Alligator mississippiensis: one gene and its partners. The protein of the gene in region 4 purifies or fractionates together with the protein of the main gene of each other region. This does not show direct contact. Links are inferred from orthologs where the notes say so. Each region holds a gene or a part of one and is shown on either strand. Other genes may lie near its edges.

Evidence for each region.
Region 1: the proteins of PPP1CA (region 4) and ACTB purify together in Homo sapiens (affinity purification with mass spectrometry; 3 studies listed by BioGRID, with this or other methods). This does not show direct contact. The link is inferred for Alligator mississippiensis from reciprocal best matches to the Homo sapiens genes PPP1CA and ACTB.
Region 2: the proteins of PPP1CA (region 4) and POLR2E purify together in Homo sapiens (affinity purification with mass spectrometry; 5 studies listed by BioGRID and IntAct, counting the BioPlex papers as one, with this or other methods). This does not show direct contact. The link is inferred for Alligator mississippiensis from reciprocal best matches to the Homo sapiens genes PPP1CA and POLR2E.
Region 3: the proteins of PPP1CA (region 4) and RASSF8 purify together in Homo sapiens (affinity purification with mass spectrometry; 3 studies listed by BioGRID and IntAct, counting the BioPlex papers as one, with this or other methods). This does not show direct contact. The link is inferred for Alligator mississippiensis from reciprocal best matches to the Homo sapiens genes PPP1CA and RASSF8.

What each region holds. Positions count from the first base shown.
Region 1 is NC_081836.1:53,264,004-53,270,992, reverse strand, and holds the start of ACTB (actin, cytoplasmic 1), read left to right. Parts: upstream 1-3,983; 5' UTR 3,984-4,091; intron 4,092-5,773; 5' UTR 5,774-5,783; coding exon 5,784-5,906; intron 5,907-6,205; coding exon 6,206-6,445; intron 6,446-6,989. UniProt on the Homo sapiens protein: Actin is a highly conserved protein that polymerizes to produce filaments that form cross-linked networks in the cytoplasm of cells.
Region 2 is NC_081839.1:2,967,196-2,974,782, reverse strand, and holds the start of POLR2E (DNA-directed RNA polymerases I, II, and III subunit RPABC1), read right to left. Parts: upstream 3,017-7,587; 5' UTR 2,955-3,016; coding exon 2,898-2,954; intron 2,364-2,897; coding exon 2,189-2,363; intron 2,052-2,188; coding exon 1,936-2,051; intron 584-1,935; coding exon 503-583; intron 232-502; coding exon 173-231; intron 1-172. UniProt on the Homo sapiens protein: DNA-dependent RNA polymerase catalyzes the transcription of DNA into RNA using the four ribonucleoside triphosphates as substrates.
Region 3 is NC_081827.1:128,470,811-128,478,746, reverse strand, and holds the start of RASSF8 (ras association domain-containing protein 8), read right to left. Parts: upstream 3,011-7,936; 5' UTR 2,921-3,010; intron 1-2,920.
Region 4 is NC_081825.1:176,233,003-176,240,982, forward strand, and holds the start of PPP1CA (serine/threonine-protein phosphatase PP1-alpha catalytic subunit), read right to left. Parts: upstream 3,012-7,980; 5' UTR 2,959-3,011; coding exon 2,904-2,958; intron 2,628-2,903; coding exon 2,496-2,627; intron 1,931-2,495; coding exon 1,700-1,930; intron 1,145-1,699; coding exon 1,040-1,144; intron 817-1,039; coding exon 593-816; intron 362-592; coding exon 227-361; intron 1-226. Other genes in the region: TBC1D10C (carabin), read left to right, coding at 5,895-6,091. UniProt on the Homo sapiens protein: Protein phosphatase that associates with over 200 regulatory proteins to form highly specific holoenzymes which dephosphorylate hundreds of biological targets.

The DNA of each region.
Region 1 (6,989 bases), on a different chromosome or scaffold from region 4:
TAAACCCTTCCAGCCTAGTGTCGGTCTAACCTAGAGGGATTAGGCCCCTTGTCTGGTCCTGTGGGCTGGATGAGTGGCACCGGGCCAGTCCACTGGCTGGATCAGGCCCACAGACGTCCCCCACCCACATGCCCGATCCAGTGCATATAGCACCTGCCCGGGCTGGTTTGGGATGCCAGCCCAACTGTGCATCCCCTGTAACACAGCCTGGGACCTGGTCCCAGTGAGTGCCATGGGTGGCACGTGTCCGTGGTACTCTGCACAGGGTCAGTCTGGCACAGTGCATGGGTTAACAGGGCAGCACCAGGGGCTGGATGATGGGGCTCTGTAAGCTGGATCTGACCCATGGGCCGGATGCTTGACATCCCGATTCAACCTGTACGTATTCCACGGCCTCTCTCAGTAATCCTCAGAGGACAGTGAGAACAATTGCTCACCATCCTCTTTACAACCATCTTATCTTGCTTTCAAAGATTGTTCCCTAGGCCTCCCTTTCAGTCTTCTTTTCTCCCTCTTGGCCTTCTCTAAATTGTCCCAATTTTCCAAGCGCTCCCCATTCATGTTTAGTGATGAGATCCTGGCTTTCTGCTCCCACCCACAGTGTCCATGGCGTTCTGCCTGTCCCCTTTCTAGGAGGCACTTGTAGCACAACCCACCAGCAAGCTCCATACACACTCCACCACAGCCATTGGGTGAGTTTATGCAGTGGGAGCATTAATGCGATGCCTTGGAGAGTTTGTTCAGCCACAGCCCCACATGGATTGGGTTATCTGCGTGACCTGCACCCTCAGGAACAAATCCCCTTTGTAGTCAATGCCTTTCAATCCTGGCTTTTCTCCACCTCGGAGGAAGTGAGAGAACCGGGGACACTTGCTGCTCGTCAGGGGCCGGTTCTTGCAATCTTCATTCAGATTAAATTCTCATGGCACAGGGCGGACGCATTATTGTGTTTGGGGTATTTCCAGCTCGGGTACCTTGCTCTTTGCTGTAGCTGTGAGGTTAGGCAATTCTAGCTGGCTGGTAATTCCCCCCCACATAACCATCTTACATCTGCCATTCTCCCACCTCACTTGTTCTCCATCAGTCCCCAGAGATGGCTGCAAGGAGACTTTGGAGACTCCTCTCCTCAGGTCCTCAGCCCCTTCCCAGAATTGCATCTGGCCCTGCTGATCATCAATAGCTTCTCGCCTATTGTCCTTTGCTGGAAGCCCCCTGAGACCGCCGGCTCCTCATTAATGCTGATCTCCCTCAGGTCCCTGCTCCCTTCAGCCTTTGTGCGGAGAAGGGCGGTGAAGCGGCATGGCAGCCTCTCCTAGGGCTGGAGTGCGCTTCCCCCTGCCTCACCGCATTCACAGGATGTTTTTTGTCCCCACCTCATCCCTGATGGACACTTCCACTTAACCTTCCCCCTTGCCTCATCCGGCCCCTGCTGCTCTGCACAGCCACCCCGCACCCGGGCCTTGTGGTTGCTTTTATTTGACATAATCCTCTAATTAATAATATGCAAGGCTCAGCCTTTCCAAAGAAGGGCAGGGATATTAATGAAGTCTCTGGGAACGGGCTAATTAACTGCAATGATCCCCGTTTTACTGATAGGGAAGCTGAGAGTCACGGAGCTGGAGGGGTTTGCCCCACGTCACAGAGACAGACATGGGCAGGCAGGGTTTTACCTCCGGGGCTCCTGGTTGCACACCCCCTGCTTTGCCCATCACGTCGCATGGCTGCCTTCTCCTCGTGTTAAAGAAAACCTTGAGTTTTTATAAAAGCCTTTGTGTTCTTCCCTGTAGCTGGACATTTCTGATGAGGTACTTTTGCCCTTGTATGTTCTCTAGAGGAGATACAGGGCAGGTCGGTAGGGGTATGGGTTTAGGGGTAGCACCTCTTTGGAGGAGCGTGCGATTGCCATGCCCTTTAAGAGCCCGTGCATAGCTCCTGCACTGGGTCCACTGGGCCCTTTGGATTCCCCTCCATAGACTATGCTTGTGCCATAAAGAAGTACGGCTGGAAGGACCCTCCAGAGGTCTTCGGAGCACACCCCGGTGCAATGCGTGTGCCCCTTCGTGCGCCATGCTCCTTCCAGATGCCGCTTGTGTTGCTTTGGGTGAATCGTGATACCAGGCTGGACACCCGCTGCGTGCCTCTCTGTCCCGACAGGGTGCGTGTAGACCCTTTGCAAAGGGCCAAGTTCTGCTCTCGGTTCCATCAGTGCCTACCTGGACGAGCTCCACTGACAACTGTGGGGATCCCTCTGGATCATCAGTCGCGTGGCGGTGTCAGGATGCTCCTCTCACAGACAGGACCCAAAGCAATGCTTGGCTCAGTGCCCGCCTGCAGTCGGAGGTGGCACAACGACTAGACTGCAGCAGGTGCGGACCCCCCATCTGAAGACATGAACCCCTTGCAACAAGGGCCGAGAGTCGAACAGCCTGTCCTCGCCCTGCCACTATAAGGTGAACTTCTGTTTCCAGAGGCCTTTGGTCCCTGCAGGCTGTTTTCTGGGTCCCTCAACACAGGGAGAAGGAAGAAGCCAAAGGCCTGAGACCCCACGTGGCCCTTCCCAGCTCCCCTGGGAGCCCTGGGGCAGCTGGGCAGGCTACATGCCCCACACGGGCTGCTGAGGAAGTCAGCTGGGCTCTGCATAGGGATCCAATAGGAAGAGAAACCAGTCCGGCCCATCCATAAATGGCTTGTTAAGTCCCACACAATTACCCCCACCCAGGTAATTGCAGAACTGTGCTCTACAACTATTTGCACAGTTCCCCCTGCTGCTTTCTCCTCCCCGGTGTTGTGCCATGTCGCGCAGGGAGGGTGACACGCATTTCCCTGGGGAGATAACGCCCTGACCCCCAACTCTTCCAAAAAAGGACTCACTTTACAGGAAGGAACCGTTCAATGGCCAAACCCTCCAGGTTTCACCTTATATGAATGAATGTCCTGCACACACACACACACACTCAGGTAGGCCTTATTCACATCAAGTCTCATTGATTTCCTTGTGACTCAGCTGGCAGGGCAGGGCTGGGCCGTCATCAAACAGCACCCCCCCCCCCCCCCGCAACTCCAGATGCCCTGCTAACCCCATTCCCTACTGCATCGCATCCTCATCCAAATGCACGCTCAGCTTGGCGCCCCACTTCAGCAGCACACTGCCCATCCCCGTGTCACTTAGAAATTCATGTGTACCATTTTCCAGGGGCTGTTATTTTTGCTGAGAGCCAATATCCAAGGCACAACCTTGCTGCCAGGTTGAAGCCCGCGCTGCAAAACTGACAGCAGTCTGCAAGTCGAGGCCCACACTCCCCCACTGCTTCATTGACTCGATTTAATCAGTTCGTGTTTGCACCGCGTCCTAGAGAGGCGAAACGCTTTGCAGCCCCTCGGCTCCTGGCTCTTCGCGGGGTGACCTTGCCTTTGTTTGGAAACGAGTCTCCCGTACGATACCGAAATGCAGACTTGCAGAAACACAACCACACGAGGCCTTGCACCAGAATGGAAGAGGAAGCAGGAATTGGCAGGACCCCCCAAATCCCTGCTGCTCCGACCACCCCCATAATGGAAACCTGGGGACGGCATGGCACTGCCTGCCAATGCTCAACATCATCCATTTCCACCCTGGGCAGTTGGAAGGGGGTTAAGGGCGCGCTTTCCTGGGTACCAGGGTGGGCTCATCCTCCCCCTGCACTGAGTGCTGGCTCCCCAGGGTTGGGGTTTTTTTTTTGCACGTGCAATGCACCCCAAGGCTTGTTTTGCATGTGCAACTGCACCCTCCGGGCCCGGCCCGGCCCTGCCCCTTGCCCCCTGCCCGGGGGTGCCGGCCGGCCGGCGGGGTGCAGCAGCGGCCGCGGCAGCGCAGGGAGGCGCCGGGCCCGCGGGGGAGGGGGGGCTGCTGCAATGTGCGCGCGCGGCGGTGACTGAGCGCGCCGCAGCCAATCAGCGCGGCCCGTTCCGAAAGTTGCCTTATATGGCGATGGGGCCCGGCCCGCTCGGTCCTATAAAACCCGGCGCGCGCGGCCGGCTGCTGTCGCCGCGAGCTGCTCCCGCCTGCACCGCCAGCCCCAACCCCAGCACCGCTCGACGCCTGCAGCCGCCCGGTGAGCGCCGGGCCCGGGCCCAGGGAGGGGGGTGTTTGCAGGGGGGCATGGGTGCGGGGTTGCATGGTTTGGGAGGCTCCTGGGGTTGCAAAACCACCACCTCCTTGTACCCCGACTGTGCATGGGGTGTTGCAAAACCTGTACCCTAACTGTGCATGGTGGGGGGTGCTAGTGTTGTATGGTGGGGTTGCAAAACCTGCACCCCAACCATGCATGACTGGCTGGTGCTGGGGGTGTACCACCACCTCTTCCCTGTACCCCACTTGTGCATGGTGGGGGGTGCAAGGGGAGTGCTGGTGGTTGGGGTTGCAACACCAGCACCCTTCCTGTACCCCAGCTGTGTGTGGTGGGGGGCGAGGTGTTTGTAGTGCGTCTCTTAAGAGGATTTGTTGCCGGGCTGGGTGGGGAAGAAATGGTCAGAGCTGGGACGGAGGGGGTGTACCCACTGCTGGCCCTGCTGCAGGGCTGGAGGTGCCCGGCTCCCTTGCTAGGAGCTGGGCGCACGCGGTGGGGGTAGGGGAAGGCAGCCTTGGGTGCATGGGGCGAGCGGAGCAGCCGCTCCTCCCACTGCTGGGGAGAGGGTCTTTGTCTGGATGGTCTCTGGGAGGTGGCTGCCCCCCCATGCGTGGGGAGGGGCTGCCCGCAGCTGCTGGCGGGCGCTGGGTAGGGTGGGGTCTCTGCACCCCAGTGCCTGGCTCCTAGGCTGGGAGGCAGGGGTGGGGGGTGCCCTTTGCTCCAGCAGTGTTGTAGGGGAGCTGCCCTGGCACGGGGGCAATGCCCAGCCGCCCTGCCCCAGCTGCAGGGGAGGACTCCACTCCCTGGTGCCCTTGCTTGGCACACGAGGGTAGAAATGGGCTTGGCAGTTCACTCTCCGCTGGGTCTGAGGTGGCATTTGAGCCTGGCCGGGGCTGTGCCCCAGGGGCCCTCCCAGCTTGCAAGGACTGTAATGCTAGAATAACGCTCTGGCTGTTTCAGTGGGGCGTGGGGAGAAAGGAGGTGCTCCAGAGCCAACTTGCTGGGCAAGCTTGGCAGGGCGGGTCTGCTGCTGCCCCACTTGATGGAGCACAAAATGCACCTGTGCGTGGCTGCCTGACTAGTTGCGCTAGTCGGGGCTGCGCAGGGCGGGGAGCCGGAGCCCAGAGCAGGGTGTCGGGAACTTGCCCTTCGCAACTCCTCCATTGTCACGCCTGCCTCCAGACAGACACCCCCACAGCAGTGCTGGGAACAGGGAGTGGCCAGGCCCGGCCTCCTTTGAAGGGAGGGGAGTGGCTGGCAGCGAGCGGGGGCCCTCCCAAAAGCTGGCTCCACGCCGTGCCACTGGCTCCTTGCAAAGCTCGCTCTCACCATTGCCTTTTATGGTAATAATATGAGACTGGAGCAGGGACTTCCTTTGTCCCAAATCTGTGCAAAGGCAAAATATGCAGCACTGGGCTCCCCCTCGCGGCCGGCTGGAGAAGAGGCGCAGAGCAAACAGGAAGCTAGAGAGGAAATGGGTGGGGTAGGCGGCCGGGTCTGCAGCTCTGTCTTGGCAGGAGCTTTACCACATGGGGCTTTCCTCCTCCTGGCAAGACAGGATGAGCGGTGGTGCCTGGCAGCCCTGACAGACCACGGTCTAGGAGTGCCCACGAGCTACTCAGAGCAGCAACTCCAGCATGCTCACATTGTCTTGTGTTGCTTTGCAGTTAGTTCGCCATGGATGATGATATTGCTGCGCTCGTTGTGGACAATGGCTCCGGTATGTGCAAGGCCGGCTTCGCTGGGGACGACGCCCCTCGTGCCGTCTTCCCATCCATCGTCGGGCGCCCCAGACACCAGGTACGTGGGAGGGGAGGGGGTGCTGCCTCTTCTACGCTGGAAACGGTTTCCAAGAAATGGAGTGGCTCCAAAGACTCCAATTCCTAGACTGGAGAAAAAGCAACTCATTTCCGTTCTAGGGACACGTCCTTCCTTAATCAGTTGATGGCTTGGTTCATCCAGCAATTCCCCCTACTATAAGCCACTTGAAAAGCTGGCTGGCCCCTAGCCCAAGTAACCAGTCTGGTAGACGTGGTAGGATGTGGGTGTTTGAGTTTAACTAATGGTAGCCCCTTTTTTTATTATTATTATTTCTTCAGGGTGTGATGGTTGGCATGGGCCAGAAAGACAGCTATGTTGGTGATGAGGCCCAAAGCAAAAGAGGTATCCTGACCCTGAAGTACCCCATCGAACACGGCATTGTCACCAACTGGGATGACATGGAGAAGATCTGGCACCACACCTTCTACAACGAGCTCAGAGTTGCCCCTGAGGAGCACCCTGTGCTGCTCACAGAGGCTCCCCTGAACCCCAAAGCCAACAGGGAAAAGATGACACAGGTGTGTACTGTGGCCTGAGCCCCCCACCCTCTGCCACTTGGCTCTAGCCTGTGGGGAAGCTGCTGGCCAGCCCTCCTCCCTTCCTGTCTTCATCTTTTTTTCCCCCCCTCCCCTTTTTGCTATTCTTTGCAGGGTTTTCCTTTCCTGACCTGAGCCTTCTCTTTGCTGGATCTTGACAGGTTTTATTTGTTCTTCTAAGCTGGTTTCCTCTTGCTGCCTTGATACTACCAACTCCTCTAACTGCTGTTTCTGACTAGACACTAACTGTTCACCTGTCTTGAGTGATTTCTGCCATGTAGCTGTCTAGTTTTTTGGGGGGTGATGGAGAATGTGGCTCTCTGAAGCAGCTGTGTTGCACCTGGGCTTTTGCCCATGTTCTTAACTTCTTCCCAGGACTCGGACTTGGGTTGATGGGTTTGCTGTGGTAGCCCAGAACTGATTGGCATGGCCTCCCATTCCAGTGGACCCATGATTGTTGTCTCTGGGGACATGGGAATGGTCTAGCAAAATGACACTTGCATGACTTGCAAACAATCTCTCACGA
Region 2 (7,587 bases), on a different chromosome or scaffold from region 4:
CAACAGTGAAGGAAAAATCACCAGTGGGGTAAATCAGCTGGGCCTGCTGCCTGCTCTGCAGGCTCACAGCAAATAAAAGCACTACTGTATACACCACAAGTGTGGTAGTTTCCAGCACAAAGCACATCTGTGCTGGCAGGGGCTTCAGGGAGGCTCAGAAACAAAAGGATACTATCTGGCTAGCAGCTCAGTGACTTCTTCCTTTGTCATGACCACGTGCTCTGGAACCAGCTGCAAGTACAGAAGCAGGGAAATCTCAATAACCCAAGGAGAGAAAGAGAGAGAGAACGAACACATGCAAGTGAGCGCAAAAAACATTGTTTCCTGTAGTGACCAGTGTTAGGAACACAGGCTTAGGAAAGACTGGAGTAGCTATTAAATGCAATGCCAGCACCCAACAGCACAAAAGCACACCGCTCCAAGGGCCTGGAGCCCCCAGACAGCTCCAGGATGTGACTGACCATGCCCAGCTCACACCGATGTACCCAGGCACTGGACTCACCTCATGTTCAGTGATGTTAATCAGCAGCTCTTGCTGGAGGAACTGCTCCAAGATGTACTTGGGAGCCATGTCTACCAGGGACTGAAAGAAAGAGAGTGAACATCAGCATGGGCTAGCAAGCCCAGCGCACCAGACTGAGCTGGTCCCGGGTTTATTCAGACTGGGGCTAGAGTATGCCATTCCCATCATATTGCCTTCGCTACTTCAAGGGCATGCGCAGGTGTGGGTAACAGACCTCTCCACCAGCAGCAGACAGGTGAGCACCACTTCCCCCATCACAGCCTGACGTTTGCCCACTTCTCCCCTTGCTAAGCCTTCTGCTCCCTACTGCTCTAGTCACATTTCCTCTTGTCGTTCCTTGAATCACTCCCACCCTCCTCACTTCTTCTGTCCCTCTTGGGCAGCAACGCCGCGATAAGGGAACGAGTCTCATTCTTGCTGGGATTTTCCTGGCCCACTACCGCAGTATCTGGGCAGTAACGCACTTCACTGCCTGCAAGCTTCGCTGACAAGGAGTTAAGAGCAGTATCTTGTACCTTGCAGAATACAAAGTTTGCTCAAGTCAAACCCCCGAGGGGTAGGAAAGAGACTGTTGCAGGGAGTACAACCGTGGCATGTTCCCTAGGTATTTCTAGCGAGCCGAATCAAGAACCCCTCACACAGCTGATCTGTAAGAGCAGGGTCATCTCTGTGGCATATTAAGTAAGACCCATGGAGAGCCTTGCAGTAATTGCTGATATAGTCGAGCAACCTCCGCTGAATCCAAAGGGTATCTGTGCCCAGCGGGGCTCGTCCAAGGACCGGACTCGAGCACAGGCACGTGCCACGAGTCCATCCCCACTGCACCCCCCCCGAACGCCTCTGGGGCCAGGCCATCGTGTACGTTTGCACGGACTCCTCCGCATCTACGCCAGGTGCTTCTTTGTTTGCTTCGTAAAGGAAACTCACAGGAGCCACTTCCTCACACAACTGCAACCCCAGCCTCTGATGCTGCACCGCGGCCTCACCACACATAACAAGCAAGCGCCTTTCAGGCCATGCCGGCTTTAACAAACAAAAAAGCAAAGCTCAACCTTGCCCCGTAGGGCAGGGGGCGGCGACATTTTTGGGCAGAGTACTGAAAACACTCACGACTCCCAATGTGTAAGACGTCGGGCGGACGGCGGGGGAGCTACAAGGGGCCCAATCCTCGCTGTTGCCGTGTACCCACCATCCACCCAGAGGCCGAGCAAAATGCCCGCGAGCGCCGCCCTCCGGGGTAAGAGCAGTGCCCCGGCCCGCGCGCCGGGCTCCGGTCTCGGCCTCTCAAGTAACGGTCGCCGCTTTTACGGCACCGACGTGCTCCACGAGGTCGCCGCGAAGGAGGCGCGACCCGGCGCGTCGGCCCCCGAGAGCCCGAAGGCCGCCGGCCCCCGGGCAGGGCAGTGGCGCACCTGCTTCGCGGACGGCGTCATGCCCTGCTGCACCACGATGAGGGCTCTGGTGATGTTCTCCTCCTGCATCCTCTGGCAGTACAGCTTGATGGTCTTGATCCCCACCTTGGGCTCCTCTGAGAAGAACAAAAAAAAAAAAAAAAAAAAAAAAAAAAATCAGGCCAGGCGGGATTTAGGAGAAGGGTCCGTTTCCTTTACGAGAGCGTGCGTCCCCCCGCCGGGTTTCTAACAGAGAAGCGCCGCGGAGCCTCACCGGGGAAGAAGACGAACATCTGATCGGTGGGGTCGTCGTTGTGAGCCACCAGCACCGTGAGGTCGGCGCGCCTCGGCCTCCCCTCGCTGGGCTTGTCGCCGTACTGCCCCTTGAACTCGTCCAGCGTCTGGTCCAGCTCGTCCTGCGTCACCAGGTAGCCGCGGTCGTGGCAGAGCTGCGGGGAGCGGGCGCCGTCAGCTCCACGAGGGGTGGGCAGGGAAACTGAGGCACGAGGAGGAGGAGGGGGGGGGAAACTGAGGCACAGGGATGGCAGGGGGTAAGGGAAACTGAGGCACAAGGAGGAGGAGGGGGGGGAAACTGAGGCACAGGGATGGCAGGGGGTAAGGGAAACTGAGGCACGAGGAGGAGGAGGGGAAACTGAGGCACAGGGATGGCAGGGGGTAAGGGAAACTGAGGCACGAGGAGGAGGAGGGGGGGGAAACTGAGGCACAGGGATGGCAGGGGGTAAGGGAAACTGAGGCACAAGGAGGAGGAGGGGGGGGAAACTGAGGCACAGGGATGGCAGGGGGTAAGGGAAACTGAGGCACGAGGAGGAGGAGGGGAAACTGAGGCACGAGGATGGCAGGAGGTAAGGGAAACTGAGGCACAAGGAGGAGGGGGGGGGAAACTGAGGCACAGGGATGGCAGGGGTAAGGGAAACTGAGGCACGAGGAGTGTGGGGGGGGGGGGGGGGGGAGGCCTGGCCCACCTGCATGATGGTCTTGCGGATCTTCCACAGGCGGTACGTCTCCTCCTCGTCGTCCATGCTGCCCCCGCGGGCCGCACTGCGCAGGCGCCGCCGCTCAGGCCCCCGCGCGCGGGTGTCCGCACTAGTCGCCTGCCCGGCACAGGGCAGGCGGCATTTAAGGCGCGCGCGTGACAGGCAGTGCGAAGGATGCCTACGCCAGCGTCTGGCTGAGAGGAGGGGTCCTTAGGAACAAAGGCTCCTGGGAGATGTCGTTCTCCCGTAACAGAGGCCTCTGCCGCCCCCTGCAGGAGCCCCGTGGGGCCGCCCGTTTCTACAGCCGGGCAGTTTTACCCCTTGCGCCCGGCGCTGCTCGGAATTGAATGCGCGAGTCACCCGCTAAGTGCAATTTATCTGTAACACGTCGTCAGGGCCTGGGGTCGCTCGGGGCAGCTGCCAAGCCAGGGGGATTCTCCAGGCATCCTCCCTTCAGATGGATAAGCACCCCCACCAGCGCAGAGCGAGGGTTTGGGGAAGGGGGTTGCATATGGGGAGGTGCGCCAATCCCGTAAGACACGGCGCATCTTTTCTCTCCCCTTTAAAAATATACTAGAAGATTCAGGAAAACCCCAGAGACCGTGGGCGACGTTCATTTGGTTTAAGATGGAGATAAAAGGAAATATCACTCTATTGAAAGGATTTTAAACCAGTCTGCAGGGCTGCGGACAAGGAGCTTCGTTACCAGAAGGCTTCAAACACACCGAATCCGTGCTGAAGTTTATGTCCATCTCCTAAAAGAAGAAAGAAAGTGGGTGGAAGGGGAGCTGTTACCTTTCTCTACCGACCCCGGACCACTAGAGCACCCAGTCGCGGCGCGAATGAGAGTATCTTGCCACCCTGGTACTCGAGGGAAGCCAGTGCATTAGCAAAGGCCATTGAGAGCGTGGGAAGAGCATCATTTTGGTTCGTAAAAATGCAGGGTTTCCACGCGCGCCGTGGTGATCTCGCTCTGCTGCAGCGGTGGAGCGGGGGCAGAACGCACGCTCCAGCGGGGAAAAGAAAGGCAAGGCAAGATTAAGGGGGCGAGCGTTCTTGACCGCTGGCTCGCAGCCGGGGAGGGAGAACTGGTGGTAGCTCCTGGTCCCCAAACGAGCGGAGGATGGACAGGAACCTCCACGGCCTGGGCTGCTTCTTGAGGATCTTATTTCTGCCTCCAGCAATGGATCTCATGCTCTGGAACCAGCTGGAAATACGGAAGCAGGGAGATCTCAATAATGCAGGATCAGAGAAAGAGTGGGCATGCAAGCGATTGCAAAAGCTACTGTTTCCTGCCACACGGGTACAGGAAAGACTGGGGCAGCTGTACGCGGGGTGCGGGCACCAAGGGCACGCTGTGCCAAGGGCTGGGGCCCCGGACAGCTCCAGGACACGGCTGACCGTGCCCAGCTCGCTCCAGTGTACCACGCACCGGACTCGCTTAGTGCTCAGTGAGGTTATTCAGCAGGTCTTCCGCAAAAGACTCCTCCAGGGTGTCCTTGGGAGCCATGTCTACCGGGGCCTGAACACAGAGGTTCTGGGCATCAGCACGGGACAAGCCAGCCAAGCAAGGAGGAAGAGGAAGGGGGGGAAACTGAGGCAAGGCGAGGAGGAAGGCCTCAGGCGAGCCCAGGGCCGAGTCCCGTCCCCGCCGCCCGCGCCGCCCATGCCCTGCACGTGCCGCCCTCCGGCCCCACTGCGCATGCGCTTGGCCGCTCAGGCCCCCGCGCGCGGGTGTCCGCGCTAATCGCCTGAGACCGCCGCCCGCGGCGCGGCGCCCCCAACCTTCCCGAGCCCGCCCCGCCGCCCGCGGGTAGACGTCCCAGGCCGCTCCGTTTATGGCGCGCGGGTGACAGGCGGCGGCAGGGACGCCCACACCAGTCGGCGGCTTTTGTATGTGGGGCCCCAGAAGCAAAGGCTCCTGGGAGATGTAGTCCTCCCATAAGAGAGGTCTCTGCTGCCCCCTGCCGGCGGCCGCTGGCACAAGCCCTAGGGGCTGCCTCGTCGGCCCGGTGAAGGGCGAGGCAGGTGGTTGCACCTCTTCCAGCCCTGCCTTGGGAGCTGGCTGCCTCCTTTTGCCAGCTGGGGAGTCATTGTTATCCTGCAGTCATTCCTTTGCATGCGGGGCTGGTCGAAACGTATTGCACAAATCACTGAAGAACTGCGTCATGTACGTAACGTGTCGCCAAGGTCCTCTGGGCTCCAGCAGCTGCAGAGCCGGGGGGTTCTGCGACGCACTGCCCCCACCCCGTCCCAACTCCCACATCCTCCTTTCAGCTGGATAAACACCCCGGCGCTGGCGGATCCGGGATTCTGGAAAGGGGGTTGCACGTGGGGAGATGCATCGTCCCATAGACCAGTGGTTCTCCGCCTTCTTTGCACCACTTGTTTGCACACATCGACGGCTGGTCCCAACCCAGCGCCCCTCACTCCCGACCCGCTGCCCCCCAACCCCAGCCCCCCGCGCGTGGGGCAGAGGGTGAGTACGCGGGGCAGGGTGGCGTGTGAGAGGTCTGGGGGGGCCCCAAGCAGCCTCTTGCAGGCTGGAGCTCTGCCAGTCTGGAAGGGAACACCCACGCCTCCCTCCTGGAAAGGAGAATCCGTTTTGAAAGTTTGTTTGCAACCCTTTCCTGTATTCTTGCAACCCACTTTTGGGTCACGACCCGTGGGTTGAGACATGCTGCCAGAGACCACAACTCATCGTTTTCTCCAGTTAAAAATCCCCTGGATTTACAAATATGCCGGGGGCCTTGGGCTGTGGTGTTCAGTTTAAGCTGGGAGCTCAAACGCATAACTTTGTTGGAAGGAGTTACAAATGAGCAAACACCAGCTTCCTTACCAGGCGCAGGGAACAGAGAGCCCAACGGCAGAACATGAGCGAGCTTGACTGGTGGAACAGCCTTTTCTTGGTACGGACTGAATACGACGGCACCGAAGGATGGAGCCGGGGACGGCCCTGCTTGGAGCAGGGGTTGGCTTAGATGTGACCGCCCAAGGTCCCTTCCAGCCCTCGTTTTCCATGATTCTGTGAATGGCAAGACAAAGAAGCGAGGGTCGTTAACACCCGGGCATGAAGAGCTGAGAAGGGAACGGGTAGATTATAACGTGATAATCGTGCCACAAAGTGACTCCCTCACTGCTGCCTGAAAAGAAATGCCACTGCTACAGCCAGGCAACTGGTTTTAAACTTCCGGTGCAGCAGGAATCAACGTGGGGTGCGAGTACACCCCCTGGATCCGCCCCTGCCCCTGCCCCCCCAACCCCAACGCACACACTCTTGCTGGAAAATCAGGACCGTTCCCCACGTTTCAAGTGCAACTCTAGGACATAACACCCGTCTTATCTACAACGTTGTTCCTTCCGTTCTGTCCCACCGTCTCGTTCGCTGGTGGCACACGGAGCCAGCAAAAGATGCGAGATCTCAGGGGAACTCAGGGGAAGTGCCTAGGGCAGGGGTGGGCAACACGCGGCCCGCCAGGCCATTCTATCCGGCCCGCGGGGCCCCTAAAAATTTAGAAAATGAATATTTATCTGCCCCTGGCTGCCTGTCATGCAGCCCTCGACGGCCTGCTAAAACTCAGTGAGCGGCCCTCCGCCCGAAATAATTGCTTGCCCCTGGCTTAGGGCCTGAAAAACCTGCCCAGAAGCATCAGGCTAAAACCCGTGGTTAGGCAAATAAGAGCAGTGCCAGCATGTAGCAACGCTGCCTGTATGACACAATGCCTCCATACGCCGCGCTGGTGTTGCAACGGCCTGTTGTAACGCAGGTGCTATCATGCAGGGTTTTAGCAACACGCTGTTTCACAAAGCCCCCGTGTCACAACAGCGCTTGATTGATCATCATCTTAGACATCCTGTTAGCATTTCACCACAAAGTCAAGCCCACCGCGCTGCGGCATGGAGATACTTTTTAACCATAGAAAATCTGATTTATTATGTAAGATGTTATCATCCTATGGCTAGAGACTGCCTGCACAGGAAACAGCTCTCCTGGGGACTGAGCTGCAGCTCCGGGATAACTAGGAGCCATCACGAACGTCAGACTTCCTGCCCCAAACATAAAGGTGCCCGTCTCCGACCTGCCTTTGCTAAGAGCCACAAACGCCTACCAAAGGACTCCACACGCTCCCTGGAGCACGTAGCCCGTACGTGACAGATATTAGTCAAGAGACAGGTAGTTAACCACGTTAGTCTGAACCTAGGCAGAAGGAAGGGTAGAGATGCACCTTACAGACTAGCTGAATCAGAGATGCATACTCTTGCGCGAGCCCAATCTCATGTCATCATCAGTCAGGTTACTTCAGGTGCTGCGGGAAGGAAGATGCATGGAAAGTACCATGCTGGGAACCTATCCCGAATGTCTCAGACATGATTAGCCCATTGCACCATCCCATTGCACACGACGATCTAAATTCCTGCTCCTGGACATGTGTCACTGCACAGGAATGGCCCCGGTCGAGCCCAGCTCTGATGATTTTGTGATCAAAGGAAAAGCTCTGCATGATCTAAACGTGAATGCACCTCCAGTCCCTGCGGCAATTTGAACCGGCTAACACTTCTCCTTCACGGGGCGGGGGGGAGGATGAGGCCAGTGTTTTAAGCGTGGCCAGTTTGTTTTCATTACAGTCCGGAGCATCCCAGCTCCGGGGATTTGATCAAAGGACCGTGCCCTGGCAAG
Region 3 (7,936 bases), on a different chromosome or scaffold from region 4:
TCTTAAAGCTTTGACTCCTGGAATCAAGAGATTGCAGAGGAAGGAGGGGGAGAGGAATTTCAGCTTTCTTAGAAGAAGAAAGGAGAAGTTACTAGCTTGAAAACATGACGCAAGCAGGTAATAACAACAACAACAACAACAAACACCTTAAATAAGGAGGCAAAGAAAAGTATACCCCTGCCCCTCCTCCCCACCAAAAAGGGGAAAGAAAACCCTCACAATTTCTAAGCCTCTCATGATTTTGGAAGTCTGGATTATAAGGCTTCGAATGCTTGAAGTAGGCAATGTTGTTTATAGTATCTACAAAGGAAAAACATTTGCTCAGGAATTTTGTGTATTAAGCTAGGGGAGTCTCAGTACTTTTTCCACACTTAACTAATAGGTCTCCTTTCTGCCAGGCACTAAACAGCCTATTCAGGAGTGGCTTGAGGTGCACACTATGGGGAAAACTTGCACTAATATCTGCACTGTGGATGAGCAGAAGGTCGGTTTCCATAACAGTATGCCAATGTTAAAATTCCCCATGTGCTCACACATATACTGCTGTCAGAGCACAACATTAACTGTGTACACAAGAGAGGTTTGTGCTTTCCCAACCGTACAAGAGCCAATATTAATATACGAATCCATAGGGCTACTTAACTAACATTCCTAAACAACCGTTAGGCAAAAAAACAGACTGATACATTTGCACCAAAGAATTTTCACCAAATGGTATTAAAAGTAGTTTAGAGTCATTACTGGAAAACTCAACATCCTGTGAGGGGGGCAGACGGTGAAGTTTAGGTAAAGGTCACATGCCATGGAATGGCAGCAAACAGGCACAGAAACTCAACTCCCTAGTCCTGCATTTCATTTAAAGCTAGATTTCATTCCCCTCTTAATACTACATCCCTTTTCAAAGCTTCCCTCAAGGAAGGATCAAAAATAAGCTGCTAGTCATCTCTGTCAGGTTGTTCATATTTCTGGACACAGCACCACCAGACTCCAAAAAGATGTACTAACTTGTTGCCAGAAGCATTTGCTGCCTTTCCATCTGTTTCTTATGATTCCATTCACAAATTTGTCTTTTGTCTCCAGAAAGCTTGACACAGAGAAAGACCCATCTTTTACCAATCTAAGCAACTAGGGGCAGCTTCTATAAGGATTTTTTTATTTGATGGGAAGGGCCGATTTAGAGGTTCTCATGTAGCTGTAGAAACCGTATTACACAGTTGTTTTATCCTGCTGGAGCATGTGTTTTTGAAAACTCCGTGGAGGAAAAATAGTCTTTTTCTGTTCACTTCCCCTTCCCCAAAGACAGCCTCATTTTGTCTTATATTAAAAATTATGCAGACACTACAAACAATATTGTCAATTAACTTATCTAACTTAAATGTATTTTAAAAAACACAATATAATCCACTGAGGAAAAAAAAGCACCCCCAACTCTTTACCTACCCATCTGCAGACCCGACCCCATGATATGAAGCGGCACCAAATTAATGTCCAATTTGATTACATTTCCCAAAGATATACATACAGTAGGGATAGCGCTGCATATACAAAATCAGTTGAAAATTTAAGAAAATAATCATCTTAATCCAGGTGTCTTTCCAGAAATCAAGGGGTAATTGATTTAGCAGTTCTCCACAGTCCAGTGCGTATTTAATTTTAACAAGCAATGCTGCTGAAAGATGATGCAGCCACTTGTAAAGCACAAGCCAGACTTCATAACCCACAATATATTTGGTCAGGTATTCAATTAGTTTCTAGTGACTTTTTTCTGATCATTATTATGCCAAGCTTTGCGATCTGTGCAAGACTCAAATGGAAGAGGAGACAGGTGCAATTCAGTAAGGCACAACAAAATGTGCACCATATTTCTCCTTTTTTACATAGGACACCAATCAAATCCACGAGCAATGCAGAGCTGCAATTTAATGTGAAGCTTTGTTGCTGTCTCCAAATGACATTTGATTGTGGAGAAAGATGGGTTGGCCCATATCAGAAGACTGACTTGGAAATTAAAAAAAAAAAAAAAAAGAAATCAAACCCATCTCGGTCTCCACAAAGTTTACAATGTACTCAATGCTGCATCGACCAATGACCGAAAAAAACCCACACCACCCGCCTGCCTAGCCTTAAAGCTGTTTTATGATCAAAATCAGACACCGTTCACTCAAGCATTCCTAGCAGCCAGTCCTAAAATCTGATCCATTTCCCCACAGGCAGGACGGATTTACTTTTAATCTTTTTCCTACTAGGAGGCGGGGAAATAAAAAAAAGATTAACCACAAAATAAATCCTGGCTGTCTGGAAGCAAGGGGCGGGGGGGGGGGGGGGGGAGGGGGGGGGAGCCAACACAAAAACACAATCCACTTTGGGAAGAAAAACTCATTTTGTTTTCATTCGGGTGACTGGGGGAAGGCAAGAGAGAGCCCAGAGAAGTTTAAAAAAAAAAGAAAAATAAAGAGCTACACATTCTCCTGATGGGTAAAAGTGGCTTCGAAACTGTCTTGCCAAGGGTGTGGAAAACACCCCTGACTTTTTAAGAGGGGAGCTGTATGGAGAGGGACAGAGATACCAAAAAAAAAAGGGGGGGGGGAATAAAAGAGGGGAGGAAAGGGAGCTGGGAAAGAAAGGAGAAGGAGAGGGGGGGTGAGCCGCCAGGAGGAAACAGGGTAGAAGAGGAAACTGAGGGTGGTGGAAAGGAAATAGAAAAAAAAGAGAGAGAGAAAGCAAGGGGTGAAAAATACCAGGAAGAAGAGAAAGTTGGAGGTGGGAAGAGAAGGGTGGGGGCTGTTAAAAACCGAAGAGAGGGGAAGTGGGGAAAGGAGCTGGGGGAGACGGAGAAGAGCCGAGGGGCGAAGGGGAGGAGAGGAGAGGAGAGGGCCGGCCGGGGGCCACGGGGGAGGGCACGTCCCGAGTCCACACTCACCGCGAGCGGCGGCTCCAGCACAGCGGGTCCTCAGCTTTGCCCACACGGCTCCCGACTGCCAGCTCCCCTCAGCTGTGCGCGGGGCACCTCGCCCCGCCCCGCCCCTTCCCGGCCCTGCCGCGGCCCGAGCTGCCTGGTAACGGGGCCGGGCGCCACGGCATTGTGGGAGCGTCTTAAAGCACCAGTGGCGGCCGCGCTGAGGGCAGGGGCCGCTTCGGGGGCAGAGTGCGTGTGAGTACGTGTGTGTGTGAGAGAGAGAGCACGCGCTTGTGCAGGGCGGACACGCACAGAGGCGCCCGGGGCATGGCGGCAGCGCGGCGACTGCTACAAGGGGCGCCTCAGCAGGACGCACCCGTGTGCGCGCGCGCGTGTACGTGTGCATGTACGTGTACTGCTGTGTGTGGGCGTGCGTGTGTGAATACACCGGAGTGTGTTTACGTGTGGGTGTGGAGAGACAGATGATAGATACATATAGGGGATATATACATGTTTTTGAAGAGGGGTGTAGATATGCACAAACACACACACAGTGGGGTGGAGAGTCCCAGCGTGGGTGTTCGTGTGTATATACACAACTCTATACACACGGACTAGATGACACGCGCGTGTGTGTGTGTGTGTATATATATATATATATATAGCCACTGGGGTTCTCCACCCCAATATATAGAGAGAGGATATATACATATAGAGCAGAGGTTCTGAAACTTTTTCTTATTGTGTACCTCCTTCCAGATTTATCAGCTGCCTTCATACTCCCACCAGCATACATTTTATATCTCAACCCCTTAAATGCCAATTATTAGTATAATATATATATACAGGGTCTTCATAAAATCCTTGTGCACTTTTAAACTTTAATAACTTAGGTTGTAGGTATGATAGAAATAATCTGTTAACGGCATTTAAAAGCAAATTTATTAAAGTTTTAGGACAACTAGAGTACACAATGGTAGACTTCATAAGTAATAATGAATTAGTTCTTATTTCAGATCCTTTGACAAACAAAAAATGGCTACTGTAGACGAGAAGGTAAACTGTCGTATGGGTAGCAGAATTGAAGTCCATATCAGCTGTGAGAAGAAAATGGTGGTTATGTTGAAGTCTAACATTGTGTATTCTAGTTGTCCTAAAACTTTAATAAATTTGCTTTTAAATGCCATTTATAGATTGTTTCTATTATACTTACAACCTAAGTTATTAAAGTGTAAAAGTGCATACAGACTTTATGAAGACCCTGTATAATATATATATGGGTGTGTGTGCGTATTTGTGTGTGTATGTACCCCCCTACCCCCCGGGGTTACATCATTTTCTCTAGGTGTAACCCTGATGATGTTATCTGCATTCTGTGCGTTCACCTTTGCATATCACTGGATGTAACCTTTGCACATGAGTGTATTTATGTATATACTGTACAAGCACATACTCTGTAAATATAAGTCCCAGTTTTTAAAGAAGGAGAGGGCTAACAGTAAGCTGGGAAATATTTTTCTGTGAGAAAAAGCAACAAAATATTTTTGTTATTTATTTTTGTAGAGAAATAGTTATAAGAATAATAAAAAGTCCAAACCCAGAAAAGCATTTTTTATTGGGTTTTTTTTGCATCCTTTTGTATTATTTTTAATACTTTAAACAATAGATTTTTTTTTCTTTAGAGGGTGTTCTGTGATTATTCCTGCTTGCATTTGAGTAATATTGCAAATTAATCCTTCTTTAGGCTCCATAACATAGTCTGTTCTCCCTGTGTGTTTGAGGCTCTAGTCCTTCAAATGACTTCATGCAAGCAGGGCATTGCACTTGCATGTATCCCCACTGAAGTCATCTGCAGAGTTTGCAGTTTAAGGAGCCTTATGGGACTACTCAGGTGTTTAAATTAAACACAGGCATATATGTTTGCAAGGTCAGAGTTTTCAGTTATAATCTCTTCCTCTTATGTCTCGTACAGCAATGAAGACCATTGTCGCAGGGTACTTAGGTGCCCTGCTCGTGAAGAGGGGAAACTGATGGGGAAAGAGCCCTAGCAGGGAACAAGGAGCCCAGCTGTGGGTTGCCAGGGCAACCAGGGGAGGTCAGCTGACTGAAAGGGGTAGGGCCTGGCTCCCTTATAAACCCTAGGAGCTAAGACCAGAGGTAGTCCCTGTCAGGAGCCCTGGAGGAAGGAGCTTTTTGCTGTGGAAGAGAGGAGATGCCTGCTGAAGGAGCAGCACATGACCTGGCTGTGGGATGAAGAACCCTGGTAGGCAAAGCATGATTATAGCCGGGTGGCTTCTGTTTAAGTTATAGCCGATGGGCTTGCATTTTGTGTTGCTGTTTATCACCGGTGGTTTGGGTGAGGCTATTAGGGTTTGGAGGAGACCTCATAGGGGACACACAGTAGTGTGGGAACCCCAGTGCCAGCAAGGGTGCAGCATTAGGGGTGCACAGACCCCAGCCCCAGAGAGGGGGCATTGCTGAGAAGCCCCAGTGTGGGCGTGGTCAGCCCTGGAGAAGGGGGTGGCATTGCAGAGAAGAGCCCCGAGAGGGGGCACAGAGAGAGAGAGAGAGAGAGAGAGATGGGGCTGTCAAGAGCCCGAGTGCCAGAAAGGGAGTGGAGACAGAAGGAGACTGAACAATGTCTATTCCAGCTGCGAGGCTTGGGGCGTGGTGAAAGGGGTGGTTGGAGCCATGCATAGCCCATAGGGCTAGGGTGCCCCGGAAGCACCCATTGTAGAACGGGACCCACAAGGGGTCTGGGAAACCACGGGGTCTGAGTCACCACTAAGAAGTGACCAAGAGGGCATAAGGCAGCCTCCCATACATTTAATCTCCATCAAAGACGTGGCGGGTGAGAATCTGAGGGTGCCCTTGGGCCAACTTGGCACAAGAAGGGGGCCTTGAGGAGATCACGGCCCTCCTGCAGGACCCCACCGTGACAACCATAAATAATAACAGAAATTCAGCAAGGATAAAAGTCCTAACAAACTATATATTTCTTGACAAAAAAGACCTTGCTTTTAGTCCCTTGTCTGACTTCCCTCCTTCCTCTGCCCATGAAAGGGAGAGATGCATTCACTTGACCAAGCAACCTGCTTGTGTGGACTGGTAAAGTTGTGCATGACTGGATAGGGGAAACGAACAATTTCTTATGCACCTCTGGATTCAAGGACTAATTTGCAGAAGCACTGAGCAGATGCATCTACCATGGACTCCCAGTGACAACTGGTTGATTGACGTACTTAATTTTTTTTTCTTTTAGCTGGGAAATGTCACACAACTGGTGTTATAAATCGTTGCTTTGGGAGGGAGGAGGCCTCCAAGAGTCCTTAGAATGAAAATGATCTTTGTGTTGACATCTCATCTATTCCTGTCCAGTTTTTCATCAACTGTTGTGTTGGTCAGTCATTTCTCCATATTAATATGATGGCTTCTGTTCCCAACATGAGTTTATGAATACAAACAGTACGAAATTGAAAGGTATACATATTATGAATAGGATTATATGAAGATTTATAGTTATGTCCTTATCTGGTGTATATTAGCATAGCTCCATTATAATGTTCCATTAAGTTTTACCTCTGGACCCTGTAACTAAATGCATTTATAACCCTTATGGTTGTATCCAAATGTGAACAGAATATAACTTGCCAAAGCATCACCAACTTGTAGGGTGACCAGCTTTACTATGCGTTGCTCGTGGCTTTGCCAAGCCACAACAGGGTGAAATTAGCAAATCTGGTTAGTTTCGCACCAGGGCACAAGGCTAGTCCCAGAGCAGTGGACTATAATATTTTTTTTTTTTTTATGTCAATTTCATCCTACTGCCATCAGTGATTTTGGGGGGGGGGGGGAAATAACCCAAAGACCAGCAAGTAGTCAATGGAGTTTTCACTGGAGGAAAAGGACTAGGATCCAGGCAACAGAGACTGATGGAAAGGTAAAGTGAAAATGCTTTGTTTTTCTAAGGAGCCAGAAGGCTCTGGACTTGGAGAAGAAACCAAATTCCAGAGGATTGGAAAGTATCTTATTAACAAAACATTTGCTAGTGTAGCAGGCTTGCCTTTCAGAGCTTGGGTTGAGTCCCAGGCTTGAAAACTTGCTGTTTTAATTGGTGGAGCCCATCTACCAATCAGGAGGCAGCAAAAGGAGTTAAGTCATTCCCCTTTCCTGAGAGAAGTGGGAGAGGAGCTGCTCCCCCCCCCCTCCCCCTCTCAGACCTGATTGAAGACTGCAACACTCAGGTCTGGAAGACTTCAGGGGCAGAGCCCTGGAGAGTATAAAAGGAGCTACATGCCCAGCATGAGGGGAAACGCATCTGGGACAGAGAAGATCAGGGCCTAGAAGAGCTGAGGAGAGCTGCTCAGCAGGGTGAAGCAGTAGCCCAGGAGCACCCCTGAAGATTTCCATCAGTGGGGAATGGCGGACGGCTCCAGCAGCTAGGCTTTCGGCGTGCAGCATGGCATCCAGACCCTGGGAGCTGCGTGAAGCGGCTTGGGTCTGCAACTTCTGGTGTGTGGCCAGAGTCATGGTGCACAGGCTGGTGCATGGAGTAGGACCTTTGGAGCGCTTGGGTGGCTCAGGTCCTCAACCCCCAGAATGAGGCTAGGAGCTCATTGCAGGAGGCGCTGAATGGAGGTAGCCCAGGCCTTTGACCCATAGCAAAAGGTCTAATCCAAGGAGCCAGACGGTGTTTGAGCTACTGAGCCACCAGATGGCACCAAGCCAGAGGCCCCAGAAGCCTTGCATAGAGAAGCCCTGTTCTAGGGGACAGCACCCCCTCCCCCCAAGCCCACTACAGGTGAGAGAGTAGCTTGGCACAGAGGATGAGGGCCACCCTCCAGGCCTGGGAGCCATGAGTTGCAGGGAAAAGATGATCCACTTTCAGGAGCCCTTAACTAACCAGCGAGGACTCCTCCTCCCCTGTGGGGGAAGTCCCACTGGGAGGAGCCCCCCTAAAGTTACCAGCTTCCTTGTAGGGCTTGGAAAAGCCCAAGGGCATTGGGCTTTCCCTTTGGGATTAAGTTTATCTTTGGGGTT
Region 4 (7,980 bases):
TATTCAGGGTTCAGAGCCCCTGGGAGTCTCTTGAAACCCCACTCCAAGACCCAACTCCTCCCTCATCAAGGTTTTCTACAGGAGACAGGCAGATGCTTGCAGGGTCAGGGGAAGGGAAATTCAACCCTTACCCAGCTCTGAGCCTGTGTCCGTAGGGTGAGAGCTTGGCTCATTGCCATGGTTGCCAGGGAGGGGTGGGGAAGAAGAGCCCTGGCCTGAGGCTCACCTGGAAGGAGCACATGAGGGTCTCATCCACGCTCATCATGGCACCTGCATTGTCGAACTCGCCACAGTAGTTGGGGGCTGAGAAGAGTGTCACCAGCTGGCGCTTGGCAAAGAACTCATAACCATCCTCCACCACCTAAGGCAGAAGGACAACGAAGGGCTTGGCACCAGGACTCAACTTAGCCCTCCCTCTGCCAGATGCAGGGAACCCACACAGGAGCCCTGGCTCTGCCTCCTCCGCTATAGCTCTCTGCCATCCCAACCACAGGCTCTCTTCACAGCTCTGCTCTTCACTTCTGACCCGCAACCCCTTGCTAGCCCACCCCTGAGTTCCCCTAATATGGCTCTATCTCAGGGTACAGGGTACCTGGTGTGCCCGGCAGATGAGGTCCAGATCGTGTTTGTGCAGGAATTTGGCCACAACCTCAGCGCCAAAGGTGAAGGAGACGCCACGGTCGTTCTCGCCCCAGCCCTGCACGTCCTTGTCAGGATCGGACCAGAGCAAGTCACACAGCAGGCCCTGGTCTGGCACATCCGTGGGGCGCATGATCCGCCGGATCTGCTCCATTGATTGCAGGTCAGGGGACAGCCCTGGGAAGAAAGGGGGATAAGGCTGTGAGACATCATACCCCAGCAGGGGGTGGTGCTGATCTGCTGGAGAGCATCCCCAGTGACCCCCCCACAGCAACCCTCTACCCCTACACAGCCCTGCGGAGCCTCTCCCCCCAAACCCCACCCCAGCAGTGCCTCATAAGGGAAAGGACTCCCTCTCCCCCTCCCGATCACAAGGTCTAGAGGCCTGGGCACTGTCCACCTCCATGGCAGCAGAAAATCTTCTCGTCCACAATAGCAGCAATGGGTAAGCAGTTGAAGCAGTCAGTGAATGTCTTCCAGAGCTTGATGTTGTAGCGCCTCTTGCCTGCAAAGCACAATATCTGGGATGGGAGCCTCACCACAGCAGCAGCCCCTTCTGCTCCCACCACCTAAGAGTATCTGCCTTTCCCGGGGTGCACACTCCCTTCTAGGGAGACCCAGGTCAGAGAGTCACATGGTTTGGGCCACCATAGGAGATGGGACAAGCAGCCCCCTCATAGTTGGAAGGCACCACACTTACCACATCAGCTGCCCCCAGAGCACATGCCCACATGCTTGCAGCTGGGGAGTGCACCCTTGTGACTGGGAGTGTGGTAGGGTAAGAAATTTGGTGCACAAGACAGAGATGCAGCTGATACCCTCAACTGCAGGGATGCGAGTATGAGGCACAGGCGTGGTTGATGTTTGCACATTTGCAGTTAGGTGTATGCTCACACCTGGAGGCAGGCAGAGGTTGCAATAGTGGGGGCCCAGGGTCATTAGCACTCAAATGCAGTTGATGCTTGCATACTCGCAGCACGGCCCAGGCTCAGACACAAATGGGAACAGTCATGCGTCCAGGTAGATAGGGGCAGGGGGAGGGGGGTGAAATCACACTCACATTCGTCGTAGAAACCATAGATGCGATTTATGCTGGCGCACTCGTGGTTGCCGCGCAGCAGGAAGAAGTTCTCAGGGTACTTAATCTTGTAGGCCAGCAGAAGGCAGATGGTCTCCAATGACTGCTTGCCCCGGTCCACGTAGTCACCCAGGAAGAGGTAGTTGCTCTCAGGTGGGAAGCCCCCGTACTCGAAGAGCCGCAGTAGATCGTAGTACTGCCCATGGATGTCACCTGGAGAGTGCAGGGGGGAATGGCACCCTCAGTACACAGACCTTCTCCAACCTCCCTACCAGCTACCCAGAGACCCCCAGCCCAGCAGGGAACCTATGCTGTCCCTACCAGCCCTGCCCAGAGATCCCGCATCCTCCTCCCCTAATCCCCCAGATTGCAGCCGGAGCCAGGGGACCACTCTGACCCCCCTACCCTGCCAGCATCAACAAGGGATTCCTAAGACCTGCCAAGACCTCCCACAGGGGAACCCACCACCCCCACAAATGGGGTGAGGGTGGCAATAGGGGACAAAGAAGTGTGTGTGTGGGGGTGGGGGGGCTGCTCCAATCCCCACACCCAGCCCACCTCAGCAAGAGACCCCCAGGACCTCTCGCAGGGGGACCTTCCACCCTTAGGGCTGGACTGGGGGGAGCAATGGAGAGTAAGGTGCAGGTGGGACCGCTCCGATCCCTGCGAACACCAGCCAGGACACGCTGCAACCTCCCGCAGGGGAACCCACTGCCCTAAGGCTGGGGCTGGGGGACAAGATGCGTGGACAAGGGTGGCGGTGGGCCCTGGGGCTCACCGCAGATCTTGAGCGGCGCCTCGAGCTCCAGCAGGATGGGCTGGCTCAGGAAGATCTCCCGCGACTTGAGGCACAGGCCACGGATCTCGTTCTCCGTCAGCTGCACGTTCTTGCCCGGCCGAGAGCCCTGCACTGCAGCGGGGCGGCCCACGGGGGCGGGTCACCGGGGGGGGGGGGGGGGCAGCGCCTCCCCGCCCCCGCACGCACGGACACATGCAGGCGCCCACCCACCCACGCGCGTGAGCACCCACGCCCACCCGAATGCATGTGCACACGCAGCCCTGCCGCCCGCCCCAGGCCCATCCCGGCGCCTGCAGCACGTGCCCCCCCGCCCCGCGGGCTCAGGCGAGCCCCAAGGGGGCCGCCCCTCGCGCCCTGCCTCAATTCCCCGGCCGGGCCCCGCGGCACCTTCCAGCAGGCGGCCGATGATGGAGTCGAGGTTGAGCTTCTCGCCGTCCGCCATGGCTGCCCGGCCCGGCCTGCGCTCCCCCGCCTGCTGCCTCCGCCCCGCCCCGCCCCATCTGCGGGCGGGGCGGGGCGGGGCGGGGCTGGGTCCCCGAGCCGCCAGGCCTCGCGCCCCGCCCCGCTGCGCAGCACCCGCTGCGGCCTGGGGGTGTCCTTGCAGCCAGCCGGCGGGTCGTGTGAGTGCAGGGGTCATAGTGGTCCGGGCTCCCCCGTGGCCGCCGTAGAGGACACTTCTGTCCTCTCTTGATACGAAACCCGACGCCTCTATGTCCTCGAGTTTTCTATAGAGGACGTAAAGGCGTCCAGTTTCGTATCAAGAGAGGGCAGGGGACAACCAGCTGGCCACCCTGCGCCCCAGCCCATCCTCTGGGGCAAGGGGGGCGGGGGGTGAGCAGGGCAACCGCCCTGGGCACCAAAGTGAAGGGGCACTGACAGGTGCTGCTCACCCGGGGCGGGGAGTGGGACGGAGCTGCAAGTGGCTCATTTTGGGGGGGATGGAGGGAGGATGGCTCTCGCCGCTGCGTTCACTCCCGGGCAAGCATTGGGGTGGGAGGCGTGTGCCCCCCAGATGTGTGCGCAGGGCAAAGGCAAACTGCCGCTGTGGGCTTTGCCCCGGGCACCAAACTTCATTGCTACAGCACTGCTCTGCAATGTTGCTGCCTGGTTGCCTCTCTCTCTCTTTTTAATTTTTTTTAATTTCATATTTCAGGTTGAATTTGCCAAATCAGTTCCAAAGCCTATCAATTGAGCCGAACTCAGTCATTCAAATCCATGTGGCGCTACCACTGTATCCTCCATCCCAGACTCTTCAGCCTGAGGCTTCAGATACCCCCAAATCCATTGGCTGGCATCCTACGTACAGGCCCAAGCCCAGAGGTCTTGGGGTTCAGATGTCCCCGAGTCTCGCTTGCCCTTAGGAGGTGTCCACCATTTCTATAAAGTAGGTGTGTAGCCAAGATCATCCCACTGGGAGGCTATAGTGGACTCTCATAAGGTGTCCTGTCCTCAGTGCATTGCACAGGTATGCACCCACCATTGCACACTGCCATTCAAAAGTGATCTCGGCCCCGGCAGCAGACCAGTGCAGGGACTACATTGGATCTTAATCCAGAAGAGGCCTAGTCACCTCTTTCTTCTGGATCACAGCCTCGCAGACTCTTCCGCTCTAGCCAAAAAACTTTAACCTCTGTGTGGTCATACTACCTCAGGTGATTGACAGTGAGGTACTGGAGGCACTGTCAAGAAGCTCAGGAATGCTGGACTTGGGTTGATTGAATTGTGATGGCTTTGTGACTGATGAGATACCTTTTGACTATGACTGTGTTTTGTCAAATTTACTGTGCTTTTTTAAAGATAAAAGTTTCCTATCATCTAGGAAATCAGTGCACATTCCAGCAGTTATACCCTGTTTACTTTTGCTTGGATCTCAAATTGAATACTGTCATACTAGCCCCGTAGCATATTAGTAAAGCTTCTAGTTTCCCTTTAGTTGGAGAAAAAGAGTGTTGTGTTGTATGTGACAATGTGCCACACCACCTGTACCCTACTTTTCAAAATCCTAGATCCACCCATGCCTAGGGCTGCCACCCAGTGTCACTAGGGGTCAGACAGTGCCAGTGCCCAGCAGGAGGCTCCCACCCCCACACCACTGCTTGGCAATGACTGCAGGCACTGCCCACCACTGCTAGTATCCAACACTGCCATGGGGGCTCAGCACCACCCTCAGCACCCCATGTCAATGCCTGGCTCATGATCTTAAGGCCATCACCACCATACAACCCCCTGTGACGCTGTCTGCCTTGCACCCCTGGCACAGTGCCATGTAGGGGGTGATAGCTGTGGGAGGAGCTCCCAGTCACTCCAGTACTGCCTCAGTCAGCAGGTGGAAGGAAAGAGTGAGTGCCCTCTGCCTCGAGTCCCAGGCCCACTGGCTGCTTACTCCTGGGACCTTGCCCTCCTCATGCACTCCCCAGGGTGCCTGCCACCATCCTGTGCCATGTGTCCCCCCCTAGGACGGTTGCCCACACCATGCACTGCCTCTCTAGGGGACCTGCCCCCTCCCTGCGTGCTCTCTCCCATGGGCCCCTGCGCCCCACACACACACTGCCTGCCGCCTCAGCAGTATCAGGTGCAGGAGGAAATGACTTGTGGGAAGGAAATCAGCTTGCAAGGCGCACGCCGGGGCTGAGGTGCCAGCAAGGGACAGACACACGGACACAGCATCCTGCATCAGGAAAGCCCCCCAAGCCCAGCGCAGGGCACGAGTTAGAGGCCAAGGAAGGTGAGTGGGATCCTGGGGAAGACTGGAGCACAGGGTGTCTGGACAGACGCGAGGGGATGTTCTGAGAAACTCCCCAAGCACTGAGTGTAGGGAGATTTAGAGATGAGGGCTTGCCAATAGATGTGGGGGAGCCTGCATGGGTGAGGGGTCGGACACATGCTGCATGGCCAGCAAGACAGCCCCAGCATGTCCCATACACACTGAACACACATAGATGGGGTCCTGTGCTGGGGTGCTGGGGGAAATGGGCGGACCCAGAGAGGGCACAAGGCATGGGATGCTGTGCAAGAAGACCCCATGGGGAATGGCGCCCAGGGTAGACACTGTGGGTAAGAGGCTGCAACACCCCAAACAGAAAGACTAAAGTGATAGGGGAAGGAGGCCCTGTAATGGACAGACCTAGGAAGGGAAGAGGGTGTGAGCTGTGGACAGGCAGGTCTGGAGGGGTGAGGTGCAGGGGCATAGGTGGGCAGGGCCTAGGGGGGCGAGGGGGAGGCTTAGGAGGTGGGGTGTGGATAGTTCCTTTGGGGAGAGAGTGGGGTGGGCTGTGGTGAGAGCCTATGTGAGGGTCTCTTTTGGGTGCTTGGTCCTGGGCTGTCCTGCTCCACACTCACTGTGGCCCTCTCTCCCTCCTGCAGGGTGCTCTCGTGGGCATGGCGACCAGCACCATGTCATCTGCTGACTCCTCCAGCCACAGCACCCTGGAGGACCTGTCGGATGCCTTCAGCTTGGCCCTGGAGCACCATGAGGACTCCAGCTCACTAGGCTCTGACTCTGAGTTCAATGGGGTTCCCCCATACCGCCAGACTGATCGCTATGGCTTCATCGGGGGTGGCAGTGCCCAGAATGCGTGAGTTGGGGGTGGGGGGCAGGGGTAGCCTTCCCAACTGGGAGTGCTGGGGCAATGGGGAGGCAGCCTGCTGTGCACTGAGAGAAGTATAGACCCTACAGGTGTGGGATAGGATGCCTTGGACTTCTCTCTTGGACACCTGGGTCCTATTCTGTACATGGTCTCTAGCTCCCTGGCACTGTTGTGCCTGTTGGACCTGGTGTCCAGGTTCACAACCCAACCAAGGCAATCCCTTGCTCTGAGCCTGAGTTCCAGCATGCTCCTGCTCAGCCCCATTGCACAAAAACCTACCGAAGGGCACTGTGCCCACCTGAGTGCTGGTGGTTCAGCACAGACCACCCATAGCCACAAATCAGCTGTACCTGAACCCCTTTCTCTTAGCCTTGCTAGACCCAGGGGCCCTCCCAGCTTCACCCCCTAGGCAGAGAACCCTGGCTCTGAGCTAGACAGGCTCAGCTCACATCTGGGAAAGCTAAGCTCCCTGGGGAAGTCAGGGTGAAATTCTCCTTGTTGTCTGAGAGGAGGCTTATGAGAGCATCTACCAGGAAACTGCTTCAGCCTGATGCTAACAACAAATGAGCCTGTTGTAACTGCAGCTAACCAGGGATGCAGCTGGTTAGTGCCGTGCCCTTTAGTGGTGATTAACCAGGGGTGAAATTCCAAGCTCTGTCTGCTATATAAACACATAGGATGCTGCAAACGAGTTAAGGTGTGTGTGGGGGTGGGGTGGGGAGGGATTATATTTTCTAGCTAACAGGTCAGTCAAGGATGCAGGAGGCTCAGTGTCCTCTGTCTGGGATGGCAATGTTTAGGTAGGATCTCTCCAAACTTCCACCTTCTGCATCCCGCCAGCTTGCACGGCTGAGCTCAAGATAGAGACATCCAATCTGAATCAGAGCTCTCCAGGCCCTTGGGAAACAGGATCCGTAACTCTGCCCTGTCCCAGCCCCACAGATGATGGCATCTCACTGCCCATAATTCCCCCTTTGGCTTGGACCCAGCTTGAGGTCTTCTCTGGTTTGGGTCCCTTGGGGGGTTTCTGGCAGGCAAGTGGGTCTCAGGGGATGAGCTAACAGGGCCAGGAGCACCAGGTCTGTCCCAGGAGGAGGCTCTACGTGCTGAGGGCTGCACACACCCGTTAGCTAACACTTCCTATTTCAGCAGTGAGCGGCCTCACCACATCCTGTCACTGGTCCCCATGGCAACCTGAGTGTGTGGTTAGAGATGTCAGTGCGTCATCTCCCGCCCCTCCCTGCCCTGCGCTGGCAGCTGCTGGGGCGGGAATGGAGCCCAGGGCAGGAGACAGCGTTGCTGGGGGTGCAGAGAGCAGAGCCCCATTACCTTCCTCCCCAGCTGCCCATACACAGGGTCCAAGGCAGTCCCCACAGCTGATCCCTGCCCGCAAAACATGCCCAGCCCTGCAGGCCCAATGCTGCCTAGACAATCCCTTCGCTGTCTGAGAGGGGCACTCTGCAGGTGGAAATCCCGACCCGCCTCTTTGTCTTTGCTCATGGTGACTTGCTGCTCGCTCGTTATCCAGCAGCTACTTATCCATATTAGATACTCCTTCATGTGCTACTCACGACTCAGTGATCATCACTCCCTGTTCAACACATACTCATCCCTGACACAAGTACTTCTTGCTCTGCAGTCAGTTATTCCTCCCTTACTCAAGGACTACTCCTTGCTCAGTGCTTGTACATCTCTTACAAAGGGGTGCTCCTTGCTCAGCCCTTTCCCGTTCTTTACTTGAGGAGCACTGAGCACTCCTTATTCAATGTTTTTTCGTCCCTTACTCGAGTACTCCCTGTTCAATTCTCACTCGCTCCTTACTCAAAGAGTACTCCCGATCAATGCGTGGTCATCGCTTACTTAAGTACTCCCTGCCC